4 linked regions of the Arabidopsis thaliana genome follow. The protein of the gene in region 2 interacts with the protein of the main gene of each other region in a pairwise test. Each region holds a gene or a part of one and is shown on either strand. Other genes may lie near its edges. The genes, in order: IAA8, ARF8, IAA1 and IAA19.

Region 1 (4,916 bases), on a different chromosome or scaffold from region 2:
TGGATAAATTTGGAGCTCAAAGATAAATAAAATTAGATGTTAGTAAAAAAAAAATTTACAAATACGAGTTAACAGAGCTCACAATTCTCAAAAGAAGTTTGCTAAAATTCAAATTTTTATGCGTCACATTCTTTTATTATCTTTCCTTCGTTTGGGTAGCTATGTTAGCATCTACCTCTATTAGAAGTATGAGACTATAAATTTGTCAAACTCTATTTTGCTCACTACATAAATGTTCTCCTTTCTCTCTATCTCATCCACTCTTGCTCCACATGTATTTGATATGCCCTCTATTTCGGTAAGGTGAGGTTTATTTATCTACTCTTCCTACTCACCAGTCTTCTTTATACGTTATTATATGTATGTTACAAAAAAATCGAAAACAAAAAAAATATATATATGTAGTTACATTTTTTTTTTGTTCTTCTAGTATTTAATCTGTAAGAATATTGTAGAAGACACTATTGCGATTAGTCTAAAGCTTATCCAGATTTACACACTTTCATGTTTTAAAGATAATAACCATCATTTGAGATTCCACTTTGTGTGGTTAAAGGTTCTTTATCGTAATTATCACTTATAGACTTTGGTACTAAGTGCTAACAATAAACAAATCAAGATTTTGCGTAGAGACGAAATATCTTGAAGGTCAAAGTAGAAACACACACATAAGAATGTATTTGTTTTGAACAAGCACACACAAATAAGAGAATCCAAAGTCTTACAACACAAATTAGTAAAAAGACTAAAGAGTTTTCAAACACATCAGTAAATAAAACTTAAACATTGGAACTGTGCATAGTGTTTTTTTTTTGTCTTGAGCATCTTCGTTTCAAACCCGCTCTTTGTTCTTCGATTTCTCCACTGCACCTGGAGCTGCCACAGAATAAATCAACAATGAAATGAGCCATTGAGTTTGTATTCAGATTAGGGGGAAAGATGTTGGAAAACTTACCTAAGCCAATAGAATCAGAACCCTTCATGATCTTCAGTTTCTGGCATGTTTCAGTAAATATCCTGCAAATAGGTTTTAACAAGGATTCAACTTTTGAACGGAAACAAAACCACAGTTATTAAAGCTGAGAGTTCCAAAAGAAGCTTACTCCCATGGAACATCGCCAACAAGCATCCAATCACCGTCTTTATCTTCATAAGTAAGCACAAATTCTGATCCATGAAGAAGATCCTTCAGTTTAATCTCGCTCATTCTTTCCCTCCCTTGAGCACCATGAAGACCACATTGACCTGAGATCACAAACAAGAATCGAAATCACTGTTCTTTGGTTCATTCTGTTTTACAGTAGAATCAATGATTAGCTTAAATACATAGTAAATTCTCACCAAGGGTGAAGCAGCTGAACATTTTCTCAAGTGCAGAAGACAACTGTTGATAGGAAGTGTAAGTTCTCAAGTCGACCTTTCTCAGATACGGAGCACCATCCATGCTCACCTTCACAAACAGAACACCAAGACCAGGTTTCCCATCAACCTCATCAGTGTTCTTCGAAGTAGAAGAAGCCATTGTATTCTTCCGGTATGATCTGATTGGAGGCCAACCAACAACCTGTGCCCTGCAAAACAATAGACACAGATTACCACAAGATTCGTTCTTGACTCATAAACAAACTCATAAACAAACTCATAAACAAATCATCATATAATACACACTTGGCAGCTGGTGCATTGTTCAAGCCACCCTTAGCATGAGATCTTTCTTCTTGAATACTCTTCGAGACATCCTTAACTTTCGGCGACAACATCATGTTGATTCCTCCTCCAGGTCTAACAGATCCTTTCACACCCGAAAACTCATCCCAAGTGTCAGCAAATCCTCTCTTGTTACCAGAAACAACATTCTTATGCCCTGTAGTAGCAGAACCATTGTCTTTAGAAGGTAGCAACGGGAAGAGAAGCTTCTCATCGGGTGTTCTCGGACTCAGCAAACCGAAATCAGTCTCTCTCTCAGGAGATTGAGACTCAGGAAGACCTAGCCTCAGTTCAGTAGCTTTGAAATTGAGATTGCTCTTCCCAACAACATTGGGAATAGTTGAGCTATCAACAGAGGAACAATCAGAGAGACCCAAGTAGTTACGTTCTTTCAAACAAGGTGACGTAACCAGTTCATCCTTATCCACACTTAGCAATCGATAAGACATCAGATCTTCAATATGCAGGACTTGTTTTATCTGCTTAGCATCACAACAACAAGAAGAACAACCCAAAATCAATCTAATTACATAAAAATCTTCACTTTCTATAGATGCATGAACAAAATTCTCAATTTTAAGAAGAACCCAGAAAAATTAGGGTTTCAGATGAGAATTGGGTTAGATTTGCTTAACAAGTAAGATAAAGTTAGAAACTTTAACCTAGGTTTCATAGCCAGAATTCAACCTTATCGTTCCCAGAACTCATCTTCCCCAAAATCAATCACTTTCCATTCAAAAACCAAAAATTTCTTACTCTAACTTCTTCAGCATTTCCCTAAAATTCAGAATCACAACTAAATCACTTACTTACGAGAAAAATAAACTAAACCCAAATGATAATGAATCCAAAGAAGCTACAAGAACCAAACAAACAAACCCAGATTGAAAATTGAAACTAGAGAAGGAGGTTTCAATAGTTCCTTTTAGAGAAATTGAAACTAGTACCTGAAGAGAGAAGAAGAACAGAGTACGCAGAGGATCAAACAAACACTAGAAAGAGAGAGGATAGTGAGAGAGAGAAAATGCACGAAGGGAAGCAGAGAGGTCAAGGTCCGTCCATGGAAAATGAACCAGAGAAAGCTAACAAAAGCGCAACAATCAAGAAGAAGAGAGAAACAAAAACATGGAAGGAGTGGTAAATTTAGTAATAAACTACAAAAGTAAGGGTATTAAGGATAGATTAGGTTTGTTCGTATGTGGTGTGGAGTACTGTAGTTAGATCTGACGGTTGAGAATGAGTAAGTGAGAGTGATTCTGAGTCGTTAGATCTAATGGAGAAATAATAATAAATACATGTCGTTGTTATAGGTAACATGGTTTCAGGTTTCTGTTTTGTAAGGAAGCTTAAAAAAACATGAAAATATTATTAATTTTAATTTGATTTATATATTTGAAATGACTTTTTTTTGTCTCTGTTATTCTTTTTATTTTATTTTGTAGGTCCACAAATAACATGCGTGTGTTTATTATATTTTATTAAAATTATTATATGGTTTTAGCAATAAGTAAAATCAAATCAGATTGTTTTATGGTATATTTTCTTTTGTTGTTGTTAAAATGATTTAGATAGAAATGGGACCATCCAATATTTAAGAGGCTGAGTGGTCTAAAATACCTATAAATTTAATATGTTTTCCATTATAATCAGAGTTTCAATAGTTATGGGACCACGTATCGGTTTAAATTTTGTCTGTCTAAAAATATGCATACCGCCAATGAAAATTACAATGGATAAAAAAAAAGTAAGACAGAGCATTTAACAAGTGGTAAAAAATGAAAATTTACGAAAAAGAGTGTTAAATATTCTTCTACTCGTTTATAATTATGGGCTGAGAGCAATTAGCAAAGGAGAGTGATGATACGAGAGAGACAAGAAAGCAGCAATTGAACTTTGTTTTGCCGGCTGCTTAATATGCTCTACTTTTGGTGTGGTATAGTTATGAAATGTACAATAATAGATACCATAATTTAAGTAGACTCACAACAAAAATCAATGTATAATTATTTAGTTAAACTAGTGAGGAGATTGCACGAGGAACAAAATTCTAAGAACACAATCAATGTGAAAATGAGAGCAAATGAAAATAGAAGTGAAGAGTTGTATATTTGAAGAAGAAGGTCATGATCAAAGAGACACGTTGGAAGCACGCTTAAAGAGAAGGGAAACAACCAAATCAGGCTTTGCAGCTTCACTGTTGTTCACATGCCTGTCACCTAATTCCATCATCACCCGCGCTCTTCCTTTCTTTCACATCATACGTCACCGTCCCGTAGCTATACCATTTATCACCCTCTTGTCTCCCACTCTTTTTATTGTTCTTGTTTCTTTTTTTTATGTTCATTTTTTTCTCACTCGAAGGTTAGATTATATTAGAGAACCCATTATATTACTAAGATTTTTTTTAATGTTCATTACTTCATGTTTTTTTGTCTCTATAAACAAAATTCATTCTGTTGTTACTAGGGGTGTCAAAATGGGTAACCCAACCCAACCCAACTCATAATCAAATGAGTTTATGATTAAATGAGTTATGGGTTGACCCAACTCATTTTGTTAAATGAGTTGGGTCTAACCCATAACTCATTTCATTTGATGGGTTGAGTTGTTAAATGGGTTAACCATTTAAATAATAATTTAATTAATTATTATTATAAAACAATAATAAATAATTATCATCATCATTAATTCATTATTATTAAATTTGAGATATTTATTGATTCAGAAATTTTTACGAGTTTACATTTTTAGACGGTAAAATTACGAGGTTACGTTTTGTGACGGGAAAATCACGGGGTCATGTTTTTTTGGCGGGAAAATCACGAGGTTACGTTTTTTTGGCGGGAAAATCACGAGGTTATTCTCATCTTCTAGTGTAAAGTAATCCCACATATCTGATGTTCTACTTCTTTTAAAACGAGAAGCACTTACTAAACTTTTAGATTGTGATGTATCTGCTGATGTTTGCCCACCTTCACCACCATAAGTACATTCGTCTTCATTGTCCATTTTTTGTAAAAGATCAGCTGCAAATAACTATACATAGAAATAAGGCCAAGTTAGAGATTGCTTAATAAAACCTGTTATTAGCCAAATACAAGAATTAATCACATAGACACAGTCAAAGAATCAATAAAACAAAGAGAAAAGAAGACTGTTTTGGACAATACGACAAGCATATGACTAAATACGATTTTTGTTAGCTCACA
Region 2 (7,263 bases):
GTGTTGGAGTGATTACTCCTTACAAAGGACAAGTTAGAGCAATCCAAGAGAGAATCAGAGATAAGTACAGTTCCTTATCAGGTGAGCTTTTCACTGTGAATGTTCGGTCTGTAGATGGGTTTCAAGGTGGTGAAGAAGACATTATCATCATCTCTACCGTTAGAAGTAATAGTAACGGGAAGGTTGGATTTCTCAGTAACCGTCAAAGAGCCAATGTGGCACTCACTCGAGCTAGGCACTGTTTATGGGTGATTGGAAATGAGTCAACACTGGCTCGGAGTGGTTCGATTTGGGCAAACCTTATAAGTGACTCGAAGAGACGTAAATGCTTCTATGATGCTAAAGATGATAAGAGATTGAGAGATGCCATGAATGCTGTCCAAGGTTGATAAGTCTGATGTGTGTGCACGTTTAAGTACTCTTTGGGTCAAAAAGAAAGGGAGAAAATGAGTTGTTGGTACTTCATCTATGTCATTCTTCAACCTAAGTTACTAGTAGAAGCTTTTGGTAACATTTTGTGATTAATGGTTGTGTTTTAAAGATTTGGTTGGTTTTGGTTTCACACCTTATGGAATCTAATTGGTCTGACCAAACTGAATGTCTAACAATGTTGTTACAAAAATAGAATAAGAATAAATACTAGAAAAGTTTAGTTACCCTGAGACAGCTACATAAAGGTTCTTATGTTTATGACGAGAGTGTCTGTCTAATACAAGCTAAAGTACGTCCTAAAGTTTCAGGACCCATACTCACAAATATGATTATGTTTCTTTCTAAAAACGTCAAAACGAGAGAGATGCGAACGAATGGCATATAAAGATGAGTGGAAACGACTTCAAATGGGAAACAAAGGGCTCCCGCGTTGTAGCATGATGAGACTAACACCGAAGCAGCTTCTAGAGATGGGTCGGGTTTTGCGGGAATAACCCACCACTGCCTTCTCCATGATCTCCCATTTGATGCACATCTTCTGGTGATAGTATCTTTATGTACCAAACGTTATTCACAAATGACCTGCAGAACAAGCTTTTAAAGATCTATCTCAAATCTAAAGCAATGTATACAAATAGAAGAAGAGTACTTTACTTACTCCCATGGGTCATCACCAAGGAGAAGAATATCATTTTCCTTGTCAACGAATACAAGCTGCCAGCCTGATCTAAGGGGGTCTTCCAACAACCCTTCGATAGCAAACATCTTCCCTAACTCTTCTCGCAGCTCGTGGTAGCTGCTGAATCGGGAGATGTCTAATGAACGCCCAACCGAACCAGATTTATAAACCTGCAGTTTTGGATTTGTAAGCATATCAGTATTTTCTTAGAGACAGTAGAGCCACAGAGAAGTCGGTGAGCCTAGAACAAACCAGCACCTTTACAAAGTTCTTGGTTTGGTTGGACGAGTTAATCTGTCCAGCTCCATGCAATAACTCATGAGTTGTGTCTTGCATGCAGCTATATAAGGAATTCTGAAATCCTGAATCTGTTAGTGACATAGGGGAAGCTTCAGCATCTCCTGATGAAGAAGCAAAGCGGGGAACCGTACTGGGGAGGAAGAGTCCAGAGTCGGGATCAACACCGAAAAGAGAGGGATTCTGCGGATTTCCGGGTTCTAGAGCAAGACTCTTCCCAGGATAGGCTTGTGGAAGTGACAACGGTTCAGAAAAAGTGTTGGATGCTTTTGGAGACCAGCCCTCTGTTGTTAACTGCTCAGGGAGTACAGACTGACCGGTTATAGAAAAATTCAAAAGATTGCCATCTCCAGAAGCCGGACTAGCAGTTGTTGCAAATTTGTTGCTTGAGTCAGTAAAATCTGACTTCATGAACGAGGGAGATGGCATCTCTGATTGCTGCTGCCACTGTTGAAGATGGCCATTTTGCATTTTGAAAGCATTAAGATATGCATTTTGGTCCGGTTGCTGTAGCTGTTGCTGCTGTCCAGCTGGTTGGTTACTAACTTCTTGTCGCATATTCTGCTGCGGAAGATTCTCACTCATAATCTGTGTTTGAGCATGCATGAGATGGCGTGACGCTTGTTGCTGCTGTTGCTGCTGAAGCATCAAATCAGAATTATGGGAAGCTGATTGTTGAAGATATTGGTGGTGAGGCTCTTGCAGCTGTACAAACTGCTGTCTTAAAGGATCTCCACCGCCGATGTTCTGCAACCCAGCAGCTAACATTGCTTGGTATTGCTGATTATTATCAGTCCCCATTTGACTGAGATCCAGCCTTTGTTGCATCCATGGAAACAAACCAACAGATGGATAATTTAGAGGAAGCAAACCTTGCTGCTCTCCACCTCCCCCTCTTAGCCATGTTAGACCACTTCCCAAATCACCCCTTCCATCTGTAACATCATAATGTTTTGAGTAAATAGCTATGGAGAGTACCTACACACTTCTTTGTAAATAAATTATAACAGTAAGACCCTCTTCAGAGCTCTACTCAATCGAACATTTGTTATTTATCCGAAGTAGCAACTAAGTTACAATAGCAGAAACACTGAGTGACAGTAAGAGACTTCACGAACGTACTATACTAGTTAATAACAGTTAGGAGAAGAGCCAAAAGGTGGATACCAGGCAAAGATGATGTGCCAGCATGCCATGGACGTTTTAGTCTGAGAGGAAAAAGAGATGGATACATAGGAAAGGTAGTCAGAGGCTCAATCTCCCATAAAGAAACCCTTGGCTGTCTCTCCCCTGCAGTCGATTCATCCCAACCAACCTACACCAATAATGCCACAGTTCATCAATGTTGATGGAATTTCAGAGTAATATTGGACTAAATCATCAGAAAGCTGTGTGACGTTCCATGGAATTTAAATAAGGTAACAGGCTTAATAGTGTTGTTACCTTCACAGATCGCCAATGAGAGTTTGGCCAACGAACAGAATCTAGATCACTAATACCAGTTATAGTACCCATGTACCTGGAAAGTTCCCCATGCCACTGTCAGAAAACATGTTAAAGTAATATGTGTAACATAATGATATAGTTTTCTCAGTTTCAAGATTGCATTTCCAGATATGTGGCATCATCACCTGCGGACACTCGACTCTTCTGTCTCGAAGAGCATGCGAAAGCGCATCCCAACTGAAATACGCGTGTGAAAAACGGCTTTAATGTACTTGGAAAGTTGTATCACAAACTCAGATTGGCTAGCCCTGAACATGAAGAGAATATTAGTAGGATATATTATCGGATATACCGAGAGATGAAAAAGATGCAGGTGGGAGAGATTTTTCAACCTTGGATGAAAGAAAACAGTGAAACAGCTATTAGTTGCAGAAGCATGTGCAGCAGCAGCAAGGAGTCCAATATGCATGCTATCACTAGATAAAACAGATGATGGTACAATAGTCTGCGGCCGAGTGGCATGACGAATTCCCAAAAAGAGTTGATTCTTTTCATTCCTGGAAACAAGTAATAGTGTTACAAATATAATCACAATCCACAAACTGAACGTACAACAAAAGAACTAAACCTGATGAAAATGACAGAATCTCCAGCTACTAGTCGCTTGGCACTGACAAAGACACTCCATCCAGTAGTTAGGAGATGCCGTTTGGGCTGTCCTGCATAATCACACCAAAACCATGTAAGTTATTCCTAACAAACCAAGAAGAAGGATTCAAATCAACTTAACTTCATATGAACAAGTAAATAATTCCACGTTATAATAGACAACGACAAGAACACAGAGCCTCCGTGGTTTCTTCAACTAAACCACACATGAGTAGTGAAAATAACAGCAGATGCTGCTTCAGACATACTTAACAGCCAATTGAAATTTTTACACTGGCGACTACAGTTAAAAAGGGATCATCAACGCACACCGAGGAAAGGTGAAACCTACCCCGAAAGATATGCCTAAACTTCCATTCAACATCATGGAGATCCCTTGCAATCAGTTCTTGAGCTGGTGGCTGCAGTGTGTAATCCTGCAACAGGGAAGACACAAGATATTAAAAGGAATACATATATTTTCTCAACAACAATTTATAGCAAAGTAAGTAAAAGAAAAAGTATAATACCAATGGAGGAAACACTTTCTCAGCAGCACGTCTAGGAACAGAAAACCCTCCATGTGTACTGGTATCACTAGCTGTGAGAGTCTTACAAAAATAATTACTAGGTTGCTTACTCGGTATCCCCAACTCAATCGGTACAAATGTTTCCTTCTGCTCCTCCTATAAACAACACCAATCCTAAAGCTTAAGTTATTAATTCACAGACTCAAAAACCTGTTATGTATAATGTATCTACCGGTGTCAATGGTTGAAGTGTCATTTGAGCATAGACTTCATCCGTCTCAACATCTGCCTGAAATAGTAGAAACGAAACCCATACTTACAAAGCACATCATCCCAAAACTAGTTTACAAAAGTAAAAATTGAATATGGAAAGGGACAGGGAACTAACTACGCACATGCATTGTAACATTATGGAGCTGGCATATCAATTGTGGTGGTAGGCTTGGGTAATTGGGTATGTGACCATCAACTTCCTTATTAGTTGTAGCAGCTACCTACAAGTACACTTCTATTTAAATGGAAATGCCCAAATATAACACAAGTCTAAAAATAAAGCTCCATACTTTTAAACAACAACCCAAACCTGTTCACTGTGACCCTGTGGAAAGTAAACAACTCGACTACCAGATGATGGAAGAGAGACTAATGGTCCAGCACAAGCATGCCATAGCTCAGAATTCAGACACTTCTCTCCTGTTAGAACAAACACAGACACAAGAACTAAGAAAACACTTGTCCAGAAACAGAACTAAGAAAATCAGAGAGTAAACAAGTCACCTTCATGACCCTGTTGACCCAATCCAGATGTTGACAGCTTCATGTCTAATTCAACTTCAAGAAACCAAACTTTGAAAACCCTAATTTTTCCGTACAATCTATTAAAAAATCTTCTTCACTTCCAGCTACTACAGTAGCTATAACTCTTTAGCTCCGGAAGTACAAACTCGTCTTTCTCCATCTCCTTTGTTCAAACCCCCAAAAATCTCACTCACAACCATAAGACTCAGTGAAAGCTTCGAATCAAAAAACCATCCATAAAACCCTTAAACACAAGAAACAGAACAAACCCCATTTCTTCAAAACCAGAATCTGTTTCTTCTCATCATCAAACCATGAACAACAACACAAGCTCTCTACTACAAGTACGCATTGAAGCAACCCCAACAGAAAAAAAAAAACTCTTGTCTTTGAGATCTTTGTGGATGAAAAAATGAAAGAAACAAGACAAAAGAACAAATCTTTCTTCTTCAACAACTTGACTTCTCTCGTGGGTAAAAAATTAAATCTCTTGAAGCAGTTCCATCACTGTCCAAGAGAGACACTTTGGCTTTCAAAAACAGAAGAGAGAGAGAGAAAGAAATGGTTAGTGAGAGAAAAAGATATGTGTCAGAGAGAGAAAAGAAGAGTGCGTGGGGGTGAAAGAGAGAGAGAAAAGAAGAAGAAAGTGAGTAAGTGGTTTTCCTCCTCTTATAAGAGACCCGACCCGACTCCACCCGACCCGGATTTGACCCGGATCCGATACAGTGGAGAGAAGGAAGAAGAAGAGAGGTCCTACTAACGAGAATTATGAGAGGTGGTGTCAGTACCAGAGTCACTTCTTTTTGACCGTTGGATTTGACTCTTGAGATCTTGATCGTTGAAAAATAATAATTGTTTTTTTTGAGGTCTTGGATTCGATGAAAAGGACAATGAATTATAGTATTTGAAGTGAGAGAGTGAGAGAGAGATAATAGAGTTGTCATAAATGTTAGCGTTGTTTATTTTAAATACTTTTTATTTTTGCTCCATTCATTGATGAAAGAAACACCAAATACTCCCATAATTTGATTTATTTAAAGATAATTTATAGTAGTATTTAATTTAATAACTCAAAAAATATTTTGTTGGATCTTTTATGAGTTCGTTGAAAAAATGGTCAAAGGTTTATCTATTGATAAGTGATGTATTATTAGATTCGCAAATCTAAGTTCTAATTTAGAAACAATCATTAGCAAATAGATGCCCGATAATCCAACATCTTATGGATACCACTATTTTACTTACCAAAAGAGAAAACTAATACACATGGATCTTGTTTGAATAATTTTTAAAAAATTTGGGATATGGAGTGTATCACTTGGAGAAGCTGGATTTGGAATAATCTTTGCAAGTTAAGACCCTTAACTAGGTTTTTCATCGTTTGTGAAATTGGTTCAGAAATAACTTGTAATTTCTGGACTGATAATTGGATTTTTTTGGGACCATATTTGTCGAGCTAACCTGAAGATTTATGACTAAGAATTTCTCTTCTCCCTCGTTCTGTTGTGGTTGCGGATGCATTGAGAAAGAGACAATAGTGGCTTACAAATTCTCGAAGTCGCAGTCCCATTATTCAGTTGCTTAAAGAATGTCTTCCTTCCTATTCTACTGTTAACTTACAAGAGGATGTAGAGGATGATGTTTACCTTTGGAAGGTGATGATATCCATGCATCAAATATTTTCTCTGCTGCTAAAACTTAGGCACATTAATATTCAAAAAAAAACTTATGCACATCTTCATCCTCCTGACACAAAGATGGATCGGTTTGAATCTGTGTGATTTCCAGGAAGGATTCTTAAGCATGCTTTCATTGCTTGGCTAAAGTCTCATCATAGACTTCTCACTAGAGACAAAATGATTCGATGGGGCATGACTACTCCTTCGTCGTGTCTTCTCTGTAATTTGATGGATGAATCTCGCTAACATTTATTCTTCGACTGCTCTTATGTTGCAAAGGTATGACACTATTTCTATGATAAAGCCCATCTTTCTCCTCTAAATCAATTTGAGGATGAAGTTAGATGGTTGAAGAATCCTTGTCGTGACAAGAAAACTACTTTGATTCTTCGAATTGCCTATCAAGCCTCACTGTACTCCATATGGAAAAAAGCGCAATGCAAGATTGCATAATTCATCCTCAAAGCCAGCCTCAGTTCTCATTATTTATCATTAACATTCTTCAATGTCATCTAGACCCTTGTTGGATAGCTCAACGGATCATTCATCTGGTTTGGTGTCTTTCAATAAATTTATTGTAATACTTTTGTTATCTCATTTATTTCGATTGTAGGTTCAATTTTCCTTGGTGTAACTTTTCCACTTCTATTATATGAAAGATATGTTTTTTGAATAAAAAAAACTGCTAAATGGAAGTTTCCTTCGTTCTATCGATGGTAATATCGTGCGATACGTCGCAATCATTTATATAACT
Region 3 (3,192 bases), on a different chromosome or scaffold from region 2:
CATAAATCACTAATGATTGCAAAACAATTCCATTAATCAGATTCATCATCCATAACTCTAAACCAATCAAGTTCTTAGTAGATATGATTGGCTTCAAATTCGTTAAAACAGAACAAACAAAAAACCAATCAAAGTAATAAACTTTCGGATTAAAAACTGTCATATAAACGATACCCATCAAAGCAATACCATCAATGATTCTCAATTCGTGGTAACACCATCAAAGTAATGAATTTTCGGATTGAAAAACAGAGACTGAGAGAAGAAGAAGAAGAGCTTACGGAGACTGAGTGAGTGAAGGAGTGATGAAAGTAGATCGGAAAAGAAGGCGACGAAGATGACGATGAGAAGAGCTCAAGTCAAATCCCAAATTGGTGGAGCAAGTTATTGGGTAGTGACTAAAGATTCTCGCCATCTAATATTAAACAAAACAAAAAAAAGTTGAAAACTTTCGATAGTGATATCCATTACATTGCCCATTTCTTAATCCAAAATTTTATATCTTTCACTATGTCCCAAACTTATGTTAGTATCAAATACTAAACTTTATTGGTTATGTTAGTATCAAATATCTTGAGCATACATATAAACTTCGTATAATCAAAACTCATCTTTTACAGAATTAACCAAAGCTAGTTTACATCTATATAACGTATTTGTAACCCTATTGCTTTTTCTTTCTTTACACCAAACTTTTTTTTATCTAAACAAAGTAGAATTTGTTTTTGCCTCGACCAAAAGGTGTTTTGAGACAATGGATCATAAGGCAGTAGGAGCTTCGGATCCTTTCATGATTCTGAGTTTTTGACAAGATGAAGAGAACATGTCCCATGGAACATCACCGACCAACATCCAATCTCCATCTTTGTCTTCATAAGTAGGTACAAATCCAGATCCTTTGTAGCCTTCTCTCTCGGAATATTCACCTACTGTGAACTTGAACATGTTCTCTAGTGCTTTGAGAAGCTCTGGATAGTTTTTGTACATCTTGAGATCTATCTTACGGAGATATGGAGCTCCGTCCATACTCACTTTCACATAACTCACGTTTTTGTTGTTGTTGTTCTTACGGTTAGATCTCACTGGAGGCCATCCAACGATTTGTGTTCTGAAGTTTACAAATCAAGATTCATTATTAGTACACCGATTGATATCAAGAAGTTTGGATATTAAAACTATAACTTTCAGATCTCAACTTACTTTGCAGGAGGAGGAGCAGATTCTTCTGTTGAGTCGTTGTTCTTGCGCTTGTTGTTGCTTCTGACGCAAGAAAGTTCTAGTTGTTGTTCTTCTTGTGCTCCGGGTAATCCCAAACGAAGCTCTGTGTCCTTAAGGTTAAGCCCATTGGTGACTTCCATATTCTCTCACTATACTTTAACGGAGAAGCTCTCTTCCTTAATTCTTGAACTACTTCTTCTTCTCTTGTTATTGCTCTTCTTGGGATTGTGATTTGATATCCTTGAAAATGCTTGTGTGTGTTGTGTAATGGTGAGGGAGAGAGAGAGATTTATATAAGGAAAGATGCTTTGAAATTAGGGTTAACGAGAGAGAGAGAGAGATATGAATTATGACGTTGTCGGGGAGCATGAGGAGGCAAGTTAGAGGCAAGGGGACAAAGGTGGGACACAAAGATTTTGGACGCGGCTTCTTTCTTATTTTCAACGGTCCTGATTTGTCTCCGCCAGTTGCGTACGCGAGATCCTAGCCGTTTCTTTCTCTTACGGTCAAATGAGTAAAGAGAAAATCATAAGAGTAAGAGAACTTCTCGACCTTCGTCCTTCTACCACACGATCACGCTAGGTTTATGTTTTGCAACTATTCGTTATTCGGATTGATTCAAGAAAATATCTAGATACATTTTGTATAGTTCAGATTGGATCATCGGATATCATAGTAGAAAAAATGAAACTAGTGTTGGACATGTTGATCATATAGATCAAGCTTTTTCGATCACCCCAGTTGTGGGGTAGTTTTCATGAAAATATTTCATTTTTGTGTAAAGGTTTGGTATATGGTAGAGTAGATGTCTAGAATAGATGATCAAATATTAATGGTCAATTTGTATCGAAGAATTAACAATTTCCTTTTATAAATATTTCGACAGTTTTTGCGTGAAAAGTAATGTTTTGTTTGCAAGAAACTATAGAACAAAATAATAGACAAAACACTGTAAAATATTATTTATTTTCTCGTAGACACATATATAAATTGTAAGTATAGGTTTGTACAATTATGATCAATAGTAAATAAATTGGGGAGGGAGATGCATGTGGATGAGGGTGAAGAGTGTTCTTAATGGAATAATGGATGCAGGAAGTATGGTAAGGCCATGTGATATGCTGTCTCAAATAACATTTTTTCTATTTATTTTATTTTAATTATTGTGTAAAATTTCATTTTAACATTTATTATAAATACAAATATCTATATGAAACTATATATTTTGTTGAAAAAGAGTTGAAAAAAATATCTAAAGAGATGATTTAAAAAAAAAAAAAAACCATTTTAAATGGGCTTTTGGGGACACGGCCCATGTGGTATTTCGAGCAAGGTAATACAATTAATCCCTTCTCGAAATTACGCATAACTATGTTCATTTAACTTGCAATTCCCATACCGCATGCACCTTAATTTGATGTTTATATTTGTGTTGGGCGTATATTCATTCCACAATCACTGTCCACTAAGAAATTTTATTGTCTATCTAGCGACAACGAGAACAAAAACTAGATCATATATGAACATATTGACAAATCAAAATGTATATGGGTTATTTTACCAATAAGCATTATCGTTTTTACAACAAGTATAAAGTAATGCTCCCTACGTTTAAAGTTTATAAGATGGTTGAACAATTTTTTGTCATTTTAGTTGTTGTTTTTGTTTTTCCATACAACATTTGTGTTTTAAATTAATAATTAGTACTCATATTATTGAACTATTATTAATCAAAAAGTTATTTCTAGTTTCTTATTCTTTTCATATTCATCCAAAACAATTTTTTTTATTAAAAAAAACATAAAGAGTATAACAAATAAAAAAGTATATGTATAAACTTGATCATGAAATACAGAGATGCTAGTCGCTAGAGGCTTGCGTGTTCAATATAAAACAAGACGTATGCTTATAAGAAGTAACATTTGTTAAATCTGTTTTGGAAATCCCTCTCATTGTGTGGGAGATGATAACATA
Region 4 (3,906 bases), on a different chromosome or scaffold from region 2:
TATTATGCTCATCGTATCATTAGTGCATAAATAAACTATGGACCAATTTCATGGTGAAAAAGGGGCTTCGGATGAAATTTTTGATCAAATTATATTTGTTTATTGATAAAACAAACGTTTTTTTTAAAGGATGACAGTTGTGCGTTTGAGATGAAAACCAAACACTGCTCCCACTCAAAATTTGTAAAAATGGAATTTATAAATATTTGGTGCTACAAATGTCGTTTGGTAGCCTTTGGAAACATTAAAGGTAAACTAGAGATATGGGAGTATGGAACTTAATCTCTTTATGTGGTTGTATTTCATATAATTTCACGTGGCCCAACTTGTTTCTGTCAATCCATTGATCAAAGTTGGTAGACAAGAGTGAACCCACACACACTCACACACATACACACGGTCGATCTTTTTTTCTATTCTCGTGTCCCTACGTCCTCTAAACCCCATCATTATACTTCTTGTGTTTTATTGGTATGCTGAGCTAGAGATAGTTAACAACTACCCAACAATGCGGGTCTGGCTTAGTTTGAACCTATTCGAAACTAGTTATACTCCGCTTGAAGTCATTGGTTCGAGACTAACTTTGGAGATGAGTATCATAAACAGCTCTAACTTAAGATTACAATACATCCTCTTGTTAGTCTAAGTTGAGAGGTGTTGCCATTGACTATATATTTCTTTGGGAATTTGGTTTACCAGGATGTTGCAAAGAAGATTTAAATAGTTATAAATTAGTACAAATTCAATCCATATGATATGATATTCAAAAAACAAAAAAAAAAAAAAACTGATCTAAAAGTCGAACCAAATTCTAATTTGATTAGAGCATGTATATAATTGAATCCCTAAGTAAAATTCAACCCAATACTTGAGAAGGTAGTTATATTCTTATAAATTATGGATATGATTTGATTAAAACTCAAACCTGAACCCAAAACATACTAGAATATACGTTTTTACTTTGTAACTATTTGTCACATTCCAAAACTAAACTCGGTACTATATTTGATTCTGATCCATACAAATTTTGTATATCTGGTTTATATTCTCCATGTGAGATTAAAGCGGTGACCAATCAAAATCATTGCTGGAATATCTTACTATTAAGCTAAATGTTGTTAGTTATATACAAGCCAATCCAAAAAAACTGATGCAAAGAGAGATAAACGAACATATCCCAAAATGGTAGGATTTGATTTAATATTCCCATCCTCTTATTAGAAATGCAAACAAATAGACTATAGTTTTATTTATTTATTTTCACTATAAAATAACTAAATAACATGAACTTATTGAAGAAAAAGTATACTATAGTTGTGATTCTGTGATATACTAGTTAGAACAAGAATCTTTACAAAAAAAAAACACATGGGATGTTAGGAGAAGGAGATTCGGATTCCAATGATCCAACGGTCAGAGAAAAATCAGAAGAAAATTTCACAACCGTAGGATCTGTTCCCTTAACCACCTTGTAATGCCGGTCTTTATTAATTTTGAGAAAAAAATAAAAACAGCACCAAACTTATGTCTCTCATGTGACCGACCACCGCATCCTCAGTTGACCTGTCTCTGCCCCCACTTTGTCTCCCCACACAAACTGAATAACAAGAAGAAGAAGACTTTAGATATCAAATGACTCCACGTGTCGATATTGGATTGGTTTTCATTGGTTGTATCGTGTGGACCAACGAAGCAACATATAAAAAGCACGACGCGGTGCCATTACTACAATAAGAGAAGTGTAGGAGAAGAAAGTTCTCATTTCATAATTGTATCAAATTGTGAGAGGAAAAAAAGAAGTTCAAGAAATGGAGAAGGAAGGACTCGGGCTTGAGATAACGGAGCTGAGATTGGGGCTTCCGGGGAGAGATGTGGCAGAGAAGATGATGAAGAAGAGAGCTTTCACGGAGATGAATATGACGTCGTCGGGTAGTAATAGTGATCAATGTGAAAGCGGCGTCGTTTCATCTGGTGGTGACGCTGAGAAGGTTAATGATTCGCCGGCGGCGAAAAGCCAGGTGGTGGGGTGGCCACCGGTTTGTTCTTACCGGAAGAAAAACAGCTGTAAGGAAGCTTCGACCACGAAAGTGGGGTTAGGGTATGTGAAAGTGAGCATGGATGGTGTGCCTTATTTGAGGAAGATGGATCTTGGTTCGAGCCAAGGCTATGATGATCTAGCCTTTGCTCTTGATAAGCTCTTCGGTTTCCGTGGCATCGGTTAGTAACAATTATGTTCTCTTCCCATAAAAGTAGAGTGGTAATTAGATCATGTGGAAAACAACTAATTATATATAGTTTACAAGACGTCCGATTAAGAACTTAGAGTGTTGTAGTCTTGTAGACGTAATGGAGTAGTATAGTTTAGTGCTGTTCTTTCTTTTTATGTCTACAACCAAACCAACACCCCAATTTATGATACAATGACAACACTAATACAAATATAGTTAGAATTTTGGTTAGCAGTTGAACTGATTGTGGTAGCAATGTTATAGATTTTAATTTAAAGTGTTATGAAAGGACAAATATGTCGAGATTTTTATTAGTCATCTCAGGAAATTTATTTACTTGTTCTTAGAGACTTAAGACTAGTCCTAATTTAACTGGTTATTTTTCTCCAAACTGTTTTGAATTATCTGAAAATTATCTATCATAGAAAATTAGAGGTTTCGGTTACTACATATCCGTAATTTCTAAAAATCAGAATTTATGCACCACTTGTATAGTTGTATTGTTAATTAGACTTTTCTATATACCGAATTCGCCATATTATCAACACAATTTTAAATTTACATATATACATATTTGTGCAGGTGTGGCCTTGAAAGATGGTGACAACTGCGAATACGTTACCATATACGAAGACAAAGATGGAGACTGGATGCTCGCCGGTGATGTACCTTGGGGGTATGTTCTATCTTTTGACTTAAGATATCTCACTACAAAAAGAAAATGTATCACAAACTAAAGTAAATGAGTTTGGATATTTTGATTTGCAGGATGTTTCTAGAGTCATGCAAGAGGTTGAGAATAATGAAAAGATCGGATGCTACCGGGTTTGGGCTGCAGCCTAGAGGAGTAGACGAGTGATGATGACTTGAACAAGAAGCAAGGAGCTGGTTCATTAATTTAATCTTAAACTTGATCATCAAGATCCTTTAGAACATTTTTCCTATTCATGTTATATAAATATATATGTTATAGTATATTATTTTGCAACAAAATTTCATGTTATGGTTTTGCATAATTATCTTCAGAAAGACAGCTATATATATATACACTACTTGTTTCTTGAGTGTTGAGTTAAAACATTAATCTGTTTCAAAATTTATTGTTATTTCGGATCTATATATGTGTGTAGAAACATATGTAATAAGTATCCATTATTTCATCTTTTTAAAAAATAATAATTATTATTTGAATCTTTCATTGTTGATATGTTATGTATACCTGTGTTTTGGAAAAAATATGGATATTATAAGCAAATCTAAATAGATATTTATAAAAAAAGTCTACGTAAAACATTCGTTAGTTTTTACTTCTACTTCAGTAAGTGACATCACAAATCTAAATAGATGTTTTCATAAGTATATAAGTGTAAGATAAAAACAAAGAATTCATTCTTCCTTTTTTTTCTCTTAGAGTTATGCTTGTATAATTTATTAGTACTATAAGATTTTTACTAGTAAGTTTTTATTCCAAATATTCGTATACCTCCGAAGAAATTAGTTAATTCATAATCGTAATTTCACATTCAAAGTTAAGATTGCTTAATTTAAAGATTTAAGCTTATTCTTCATTTTTTTTTTTTTTTTTGTAATGATTCTTTTTATAGATATGCACATCTTGCTTTTGATAGCATAAGTACTATCAATTATAGAAAACACCGACATGTTCGGTATGTCAACC

Evidence for each region.
Region 1: the proteins of ARF8 (region 2) and IAA8 interact in a two-hybrid assay, tested with the Arabidopsis thaliana proteins (3 studies listed by BioGRID, with this or other methods).
Region 3: the proteins of ARF8 (region 2) and IAA1 interact in a two-hybrid assay, tested with the Arabidopsis thaliana proteins (3 studies listed by BioGRID).
Region 4: the proteins of ARF8 (region 2) and IAA19 interact in binary tests that used the Arabidopsis thaliana proteins (3 or more experiments, as listed by UniProt).

The regions. Positions count from the first base shown.
Region 1 is NC_003071.7:9,634,376-9,639,291, reverse strand, and holds IAA8 (indoleacetic acid-induced protein 8), read right to left. Parts: upstream 2,913-4,916; 5' UTR 2,655-2,912; exon of another isoform or gene 2,485-2,654; 5' UTR 2,416-2,484; coding exon 2,395-2,415; exon of another isoform or gene 2,187-2,394; coding exon 1,669-2,186; intron 1,572-1,668; coding exon 1,342-1,571; intron 1,246-1,341; coding exon 1,104-1,245; intron 1,018-1,103; coding exon 956-1,017; intron 877-955; coding exon 833-876; 3' UTR 547-832; downstream 1-546. UniProt on the Arabidopsis thaliana protein: Aux/IAA proteins are short-lived transcriptional factors that function as repressors of early auxin response genes at low auxin concentrations.
Region 2 is NC_003076.8:14,627,740-14,635,002, reverse strand, and holds ARF8 (auxin response factor 8), read right to left. Parts: upstream 5,551-7,263; 5' UTR 4,853-5,550; coding exon 4,810-4,852; intron 4,726-4,809; coding exon 4,616-4,725; intron 4,527-4,615; coding exon 4,428-4,526; exon of another isoform or gene 4,322-4,427; coding exon 4,265-4,321; intron 4,189-4,264; coding exon 4,033-4,188; intron 3,940-4,032; coding exon 3,855-3,939; intron 3,574-3,854; coding exon 3,483-3,573; intron 3,412-3,482; coding exon 3,247-3,411; intron 3,163-3,246; coding exon 3,040-3,162; intron 2,928-3,039; coding exon 2,852-2,927; intron 2,724-2,851; coding exon 2,576-2,723; intron 2,344-2,575; coding exon 1,370-2,343; intron 1,282-1,369; coding exon 1,091-1,281; coding exon of another isoform or gene 1,087-1,090; intron 1,015-1,086; coding exon 897-1,014; 3' UTR 549-896; downstream 1-548. Other genes in the region: AT5G37030 (P-loop containing nucleoside triphosphate hydrolases superfamily protein), read left to right, coding at 1-389. UniProt on the Arabidopsis thaliana protein: Auxin response factors (ARFs) are transcriptional factors that bind specifically to the DNA sequence 5'-TGTCTC-3' found in the auxin-responsive promoter elements (AuxREs). Seems to act as transcriptional activator.
Region 3 is NC_003075.7:8,359,348-8,362,539, reverse strand, and holds IAA1 (indole-3-acetic acid inducible), read right to left. Parts: upstream 1,545-3,192; 5' UTR 1,359-1,544; coding exon 1,201-1,358; intron 1,109-1,200; coding exon 760-1,108; 3' UTR 507-759; downstream 1-506. Other genes in the region: AARE (acylaminoacyl-peptidase-like protein), read right to left, coding at 282-415. UniProt on the Arabidopsis thaliana protein: Aux/IAA proteins are short-lived transcriptional factors that function as repressors of early auxin response genes at low auxin concentrations.
Region 4 is NC_003074.8:5,262,292-5,266,197, forward strand, and holds IAA19 (indole-3-acetic acid inducible 19), read left to right. Parts: upstream 1-1,709; 5' UTR 1,710-1,808; coding exon 1,809-2,217; intron 2,218-2,810; coding exon 2,811-2,904; intron 2,905-2,996; coding exon 2,997-3,087; 3' UTR 3,088-3,404; downstream 3,405-3,906. UniProt on the Arabidopsis thaliana protein: Aux/IAA proteins are short-lived transcriptional factors that function as repressors of early auxin response genes at low auxin concentrations.